Linked DNA regions of Daphnia pulex. The protein of the gene in region 1 binds, or shares a complex with, the protein of each later gene. Links are inferred from orthologs where the notes say so. Each region holds a gene or a part of one and is shown on either strand. Other genes may lie near its edges.

What was found. Proteins that work in one complex are often made in the same cells at the same time.
Region 2: the proteins of replication protein A 32 kDa subunit-like (region 1) and uracil-DNA glycosylase-like are in contact, whole or in part, in an NMR structure (PDB 1DPU), measured with the Homo sapiens proteins. The link is inferred for Daphnia pulex from reciprocal best matches to the Homo sapiens genes RPA2 and UNG. Residues at the interface, in NP_002937.1 of Homo sapiens: Ser250, Asn251, Glu252, Gly253, His254, Ile255, Tyr256, Ser257, Thr258, Val259, Asp260, Asp261, Thr267; in NP_550433.1 of Homo sapiens: Arg73, Ile74, Asn77, Lys78, Ala81, Leu82, Arg84, Leu85, Arg88.

Annotation. Positions count from the first base shown.
Region 1 is NC_060017.1:2,573,654-2,577,030, forward strand, and holds replication protein A 32 kDa subunit-like, read left to right. Parts: upstream 1-1,235; 5' UTR 1,236-1,378; coding exon 1,379-1,397; intron 1,398-1,456; coding exon 1,457-1,542; intron 1,543-1,599; coding exon 1,600-1,701; intron 1,702-1,764; coding exon 1,765-1,878; intron 1,879-1,937; coding exon 1,938-2,129; intron 2,130-2,186; coding exon 2,187-2,339; intron 2,340-2,400; coding exon 2,401-2,480; intron 2,481-2,543; coding exon 2,544-2,625; 3' UTR 2,626-2,803; downstream 2,804-3,377. Other genes in the region: CWF19-like protein 2, read right to left, coding at 1-737, 824-907; sodium-coupled monocarboxylate transporter 1-like, read right to left, coding at 2,961-3,093, 3,172-3,339. UniProt on the Homo sapiens protein: As part of the heterotrimeric replication protein A complex (RPA/RP-A), binds and stabilizes single-stranded DNA intermediates that form during DNA replication or upon DNA stress.
Region 2 is NC_060023.1:11,049,328-11,053,130, reverse strand, and holds uracil-DNA glycosylase-like, read left to right. Parts: upstream 1-1,424; 5' UTR 1,425-1,597; coding exon 1,598-1,726; intron 1,727-1,788; coding exon 1,789-1,977; intron 1,978-2,050; coding exon 2,051-2,201; intron 2,202-2,274; coding exon 2,275-2,317; intron 2,318-2,379; coding exon 2,380-2,468; intron 2,469-2,565; coding exon 2,566-2,744; intron 2,745-2,811; coding exon 2,812-2,961; 3' UTR 2,962-3,281; downstream 3,282-3,803. Other genes in the region: BTB/POZ domain-containing protein KCTD5-like, read left to right, coding at 1-167, 235-354, 414-443; ragulator complex protein LAMTOR2-like, read right to left, coding at 647-793, 853-979, 1,047-1,082, 1,162-1,229; lactosylceramide 4-alpha-galactosyltransferase-like, read right to left, coding at 3,321-3,651, 3,707-3,803. UniProt on the Homo sapiens protein: Uracil-DNA glycosylase that hydrolyzes the N-glycosidic bond between uracil and deoxyribose in single- and double-stranded DNA (ssDNA and dsDNA) to release a free uracil residue and form an abasic (apurinic/apyrimidinic; AP) site.

The DNA.
Region 1 (3,377 bases):
TCCACTGGGTTGCTTGATTTGGCTTCATTTTTCTTCCATCCTGGTTGCGAAGAATAAAACCGTTTGTTTGTATGGGAAACAACTTCGTCACTCTCACTTGGTCTTCTGAATCTTTCTTGAACGGTTGATGATTTTCTAATGTTTTCTGGATGTTTTCGCTCTCGGGATCTTGATCTATCTCTGCTACTAACATGTGTGGAATCTCTATCTGAGGTTCTTTGTTTTTTTCTTTCTGAAGGATTGGAAGATACTGCATGACTATTAGGACTATCATGCCTTTTTGAGGATTCTGCTTCAGTTCTTTCAGGTGGCAAACCAGTTCCTCCATTTTTCCAGTATGGATTTAATTCTCTACTTGACTGCCCTGGTTTTTCCATCATGGTCTTTCTTGCAATTTCTTCATTCTTGTTCAGGGATGTTCGTTTGGGAGGCATGCTACTGTTACTGAAAATTGGAAGCAAAGAAGGCACACTCATCCATTCATCTCTCTCAAGAGGAGCAGATGAAGCGGGTTCTGTTGTTTCAGATGTTTTCTCTACCCATTCATCAGAATCAGAGGAATTGTCTTTTTTCTTGCTTTTTTTATGTTTCTTATCCTTTTTATGTTTTTTTTCTTTTTTACTTTTTTTGGATTTACCGGACAATTGAGCATCCAACTCAGGCAGCATCCATTTGTCTTCACCATTTAATTTGGCCAATTCTTTTTTAGCTTTCCTTTTCTCATAATCTCTTTCTGCCTAAAACAAAAGAAAAATAAACTAAACCAAATGTATACCAGTAAAATACTATTAAATCAAATTGGTGAAATGTGATGGTGTATTACCTTCGCAAGAATTGCCTCTCTCGCTTCTCGTTTCATTTGTCTCATTTCATCTAAGTCTTTAGAATTTTCAAAATTTATCGACATTTCAAAGGATTATTTCTATGGGCTAAAACTTGAAAAAGAAAACTAGAAAAGCAACACAAATTATTTTCAATCAAATTTACAAAAACGAAAACATTCGTTTTGACGTCTGTCGTTTTGAAGCGAAAACAAGCATTGCCAATTTGTTCAACCAGAGTCATCCGGTTCAACTTTTAATTTTTTTTACAAGCATATAATAAATTTTAAAAACGTTAATAAAAACGTTAATTAAAATTATCAATTGTAGTAAAAATTGTAAAAAGATGCCATTTAATTCAATATTGATATCAAATGTTTCCAACTCGTCAACATCGGATTGCGAAAACTAGTTTTCCCGCCATCTATAAAGAAAAGAAAACAGTGGATAGACGCAGTACAAGTTACAACGTCTGCATACCTGATTGAAGTGATTCACGTGCATTACGTTTTGTTTTGAGAACGACAAATTTAAACGAATAATTGAATTAATCTATAATGTGGGATCAATCAGCAAGTAATAAATACAATTTTGTCAAGCTTTGTGTTATTAACTTTACATTCTTTCCATTACAGGCGATTTTGGAAATGGAACAATGGCCGGTGGTTTCTTTAATGCTGGAACTCCAGGAGGCACAGTTAATACTCCTGGAGAAAAGAAGGTTTGAAGACATTTTTAATATCTCATAGACATTTTCTCATGTTTGTTTCATTCACAGGGTGGAGCTCAACGGGCTCATAATATCATTCCAGTTAATATCAAAGATATATTGGATGAAATTGATGAAAAACTAAAGATAGAAGATACTGAAGCCCACATGGTATCCATATTTATCTTCACTTTGAGTTACATTTACTTATGATTTACAACTTATCTCTTTTAGGTTACATTTGTAGGTACTGTCGAACAGATTGAATCCAAACAGACTAATGTTTCGTACACTGTAAGGGATGATACAGGTTCTATTGAAGTTGTTCAGTGGATTGAGGGTGAAGGGGTATGTATTGTGTTCTGCATATGTTTTCACTCATTATTTATTCCAATTTATTTTTGCAGAATGTCCAATCACCTTTTCAAGTTGTGGAAGGGAATTTTTGTCGAGTTGTTGGATCTATTAGACAGACACAGGATCGCCGTCACGTAATGGCATTTCGTGTTGCGAAACTAACAACTGCTAACGAAATAACAACCCACTTGCTAGAGACGCAATGGGTTCGTATGAAGTTGAGACAGATGAAGAGAAAAATGGTAATGAACAACTCAAATGAATGCTTGAACAAAGGTAAATGATTTTTATTTATAAAGGGAGAAGGAACAGGACAATCAATGAATAACTCAGTGATGGGTGGTGGAATGACTGGGCCTTTAGCTTCTTCATCCTCAGCTACTTCCAATGTGGCAAACGGTATCATGTCAGGACTGTCATCTTTTCAATCTATGGTTTATACCATCATTCAGGTAGATTCATTTGTCATCTATGTGATCAAATTCAAACAATAAAAAACCATGTTATTTTTAGGCAACAACAGCGGAAACCGGCATGGAAAAGTCGCAGATCTACAATTCTGTCAGAGGAAGAATGATCCCACGTGATGTAGAGTAAGTGTATTGATGTGGAAGACAAACATGTTTTCATTGATTTTAATTTAAATTTTTTATTAGTGCTGCTTTGGAATTCCTTTGTTCTGAGGGACATATTTACTCTACGGTGGACGAAGACCATTTCAAATCGACCGATAGCTAAACAAGATTAAGATGTACTGTACCTTCATTCTCATTAAATATCTACTAGAATAGATACATTATACTCAAAACTGTGTCGACTCAGTCTGCGGAATTTATCCTGAAGCTATTAATTCCAACTGTTTTGAAATGGTTCAGTTCTGTCTGTCTTTCAACATAAAAGCTTAAATCGTCTAAAATCCATCGGATCTACATCGGATAATTCATTTTCAGTATATTCAAATATCAGGTACATAATGACCACGGATAACTGGATCATGTCTAATTGCTATGGCAAGTGTTTGTGATGCATTCGAAGTAAAATGTTATTTACATCATAGAATGAAGACGTAAATGTTAGGTATCAGGCAAATTTACTTCTATTATTGGTGATAATCTTCTTGGAAGTTCCCACAGTAATATCCCGTTTCGTTGCCTACGAATAACCGTAGCGCCATCGGTTTCATCACTTGGTTGGAGTGCCGCTTTACTATGATAACATTATTGATTCAAAAATTAAAGCTAAACTCGCTAACATGTAGAAAATGTTTTGCTAAAGTTATCTTACTTTAATAGACGGTTATGATTTACTCGGTAAAGTAACTTGGGATTTAGTTTTGCAGGATCTTGCGGCTCAGACAAAATGCTTCCAATGGTACCAATGATTAAGACGATCACCACGCTCAATACCGTGTACCACAAATACGAAATCCGTAAGAGCACAAATGCATCCGCTCTAGAATGGAATGAAATATCGCGTTAAGTTTCAAATTA
Region 2 (3,803 bases), on another chromosome or scaffold:
TCTATAATATTACTGAACTCATCCAGTTAATTAGAGATAAAATAAGACTAAGAGATGAGGTACCACAGAAGGAAAGTAGGAAGCAAGTTTACCGTGTATTACAGTGTCATGAGGATGAATTAACTCAAATGGTTTCAACTATGTCTGATGGATGGAAATTTGAGCAGGTGTGTACACACAAGACAATCTTATTAGTTACTACAGACTATTTATTCTAATCTTTTTTTTATATAGCTAATAAATGTTGGGTCACAGTACTCTTATGGGAATGAAGACCATTCAGAATTCCTGTGTGTTGTATCAAGAGAGTGTGACAAGAGAGAAAGAGAAACAGAGCCTACTGATAGAGCCAAAGTAAGTATCTGCAATTTACTATTGATGGAAGCATTTAAAAATGTTGTTTCTTTATTTAGGTGCTTCAGCAGAAAGGGTTAAGAATGTAATAAGCTATGGGATTTTTGTACCAGGAACCAAATACTGAACTAAATTTATGCAGAGAACCAGCCTTGTGGGATTTTATCCACGTTGCAGCCATTTTGACACTTCTTGTTCACAAGTGTTGCTTTTTATTCACAAGTGCAATACAACTCTGCTTCACAGCTTCATTAAATTTTAGGAGATCCAAATTTGTATTATAAAAAAATGTTCATGATGCTGCTACTTGACGAAGAGGAGAATCAAGATAGTCTGCCAATGCCTTTGCTTTAGCATGAAGCATTCCAAAACACACATTTTCTTTAGCATAGAGACATAGAAGTAAATTAGCAACTTGGGCAATCACCACTTTCCCATCCTTTAAAGGCATTGGCAAAATTAATATTTGTGTTTACTAAACTTTAAATTGAATAATACCATGCAATCAAGAAGAACACATTCCAGGACATCTTCATTGAAGGCAACTTTCCCATTTTTAGCATATGCTGACCAAATGTTGCTAGCTATCGCTGCTGTCACTCGTGCATCCTTGTCCCCATAACCACTTGAAAGCCACAAAATTGTTTAAACACTATAAACAAATGTAAAACATTTTAACACATTTTGCTCACCTGTAAGCTAGCAACGCCCCCTCCGTATTTAAAAGCCTGCATAACAAATTAAGATAATAAATAAATAAAAATAACTAACAATCGTTAACTATTTTAAGGTATCACGCCATATTACAAAGTGCTTAAGATTCCGCCAGTGTTTGCTTGAGACAAGACTTGAGTAAGAGCTTTTGGTTTTAACATTCTTTAGATTTGTTGGTATCTTCTGTTTTGACACAAGCTGAGTCAGGGCTGAGTACAGCTGTTCAGTGTTCACTACTCCTCTTAGTCTCTTACTAAAAAAAAAAAAAACAAATGAATGCGGATGTTTCCTACATAACCAGGCCAGGCTGACAATCTCTTCTTCAGGCAGCGGCAGCGGCAGCGCCCCTTCCGTTGACCAGGGAATTTTTTCTCACTCAATCTTGTCAAATTCTTCTGCTGTAGGTGGCCTTAATGTATTCATTTCAGATTGGTCCAAAGGTGAATTTCGCGCCCGATTATTTTGACTTTGGTGTTTAATTACAATCATGATTACAATGAACTAAAGTTGCTTCTTGAAGTCAGAAATCATGCCGCCTCAAAAACCTTTGACTCATTTTTTTAAACCTCTTCAAAGTGGAGGTGTGAAGCGTACATTCTCAGAACTTGTGTCTGGCAATAAGACAGCTGAAGCCAAGAATGTTCAAATTGAAAACAAAGTAGGTTTTTTTGTTCTGTGTATACATGCCTGGTATTTTTTGTAAAGTCTATTCATTTTTAGCCTGTTGGAGAAAAATCTGGTGAGAAGACTGAAGTAGTTACTCCTGAAAAAAAAGAAAGAATGGGCACTAACCACTTGTTAGCGAAAATAAAATTGCAAGCGAAGAATACTTGTGCCTTACACCATAGTATTGGTCATTCATGGTTTCAAGCAATTGAGCCAGAGTTTAAGAAACCCTACTTTGGTGAAGTATGTACATGTTTCTTTTTTTTTAACTTTGAATAACAATTATTTTCATTTACCTACATTATTTTGTTTTTAGCTTAGTAAATTTCTGGGTTCTGAAAGATCAAAGTCCACCATTTTCCCTCCAGAACATCTTGTGTGGTCTTGGACCCATTTCTGTGATATTCAAAATATCAAAGTTGTTATTATTGGTCAAGATCCATATCACGGTCCTGGTCAAGCTCATGGTATAGTAAAAAATAATTACTTTTATGGCTTTTAAGATAAAGAATTGACATTACATTTTTGTTTCATAAAAAGGTTTGTGTTTCAGTGTTTTGAAAGGAGTTCCTCCTCCCCCAAGGTAATATTTAAAATTTTTACTTTAAAAACTACTGTGTCTAATTTTTGCAAAACTATTTGAAGTTTGGTAAACATCTTTAAAGAGCTGGCTTCAGATATTGATGGTTTTAATATTCCTAAACATGGTAATCTCACTGGATGGGCCAAACAAGGTAGACATTTAAACAAAATCAATCACAGTTTAACGTTTGTCTTAATCTTCAAATAAGAGTCACGTAAAATTGTTATATTGATATTTCACATATTTAGGTGTGCTCCTTCTTAACGCTGGCTTAACGGTCCGATCGGGCGCAGCAAATTCGCACAAAGACAAAGGCTGGGAAACTCTGACGGATGCCGTGATCCAGTGGATTAGCAGTAACTGCCAAGGTGTTGTCTTCCTTCTTTGGGGTGCATATGCCCAGAAGAAAGCTTTAGTAGTAGACAAGGTAACCAATTCATTTGTTTACGACTTCATGCTTAATTAATGTTTTTTTTTCTTTTCTTTTTTTGTAGAAAAAACACCACTTGCTGAATGCCCCTCATCCTTCTCCACTATCTGCTCATCGCGGATTCTTAGGATGTAAACATTTTTCAAAATGTAATGAACTTTTGCTCAAGCAAAACAAAACACCAGTTGACTGGTCTAAACTCCCCATTGAGTGAACAGTCAAACCTCAGGTTATAACAGTTTTTACATTCACTCTTGCCTCAAATGTTTTCAACCATGATATTCATGTTTCAAAACGCGATTCACAATGCATCTTAAACCAAGAGCAATACTAATTTTACATTTAAAAAAAAAACAATTTGTTAATTGCTGATGGATCTTCAGTAATTTTCTATTGCCAACAACAATTATGGATATGCTGATACTAGAAAGTTTTGCTGGCATTTTTTAGTCGCAGCGCAATGCATTTATGTATTTAAGAAAAACTTGTATTCTTTGAAGAATGAACCTTGAAAATAAGAATTAGGAAACCAAATGTTGAGAGACGGTTCTACCGCTGTAGAAATACGAACTATTAAAACACATTAGGAGCCATCGCAAAAATCGAAGGACATTGGGAACGAGCAAGTTTGGTGTATACTTGTTCGGAAGTTTTTGAAACTGCTTGGCCAGCGCTCTTTTGGTTCCATACGTGAATTCCAATTGTGTCATTATCCCACGTAATATCTTGTTCCAAAAAATATCTCAACCATTTAGGCCATTCGATTGGATAAAATGTTTTTGGAGGAAGAATCTCAAAACCGTAGCAGCTATCAGAATTCATTTCGGCAATGTTTTCTGTCAAACACCATTTTGTCATTACGCGAGTCAGGAGCAATGGGCCATTGTGACCCCAAATATCCTTTCTGAAGTAAAGAAAACAGTTAAGTCATCTAGTTTGGGAAATTTTCGTGTACACACCTGTATGTTTCTCGGAACTCCTCCACTGCCATGCGGATAACAGGATGTAGGTAATCAACGTGAAGTGCTCCAGCAGCCAAATTTTTCTCGTTTTCCG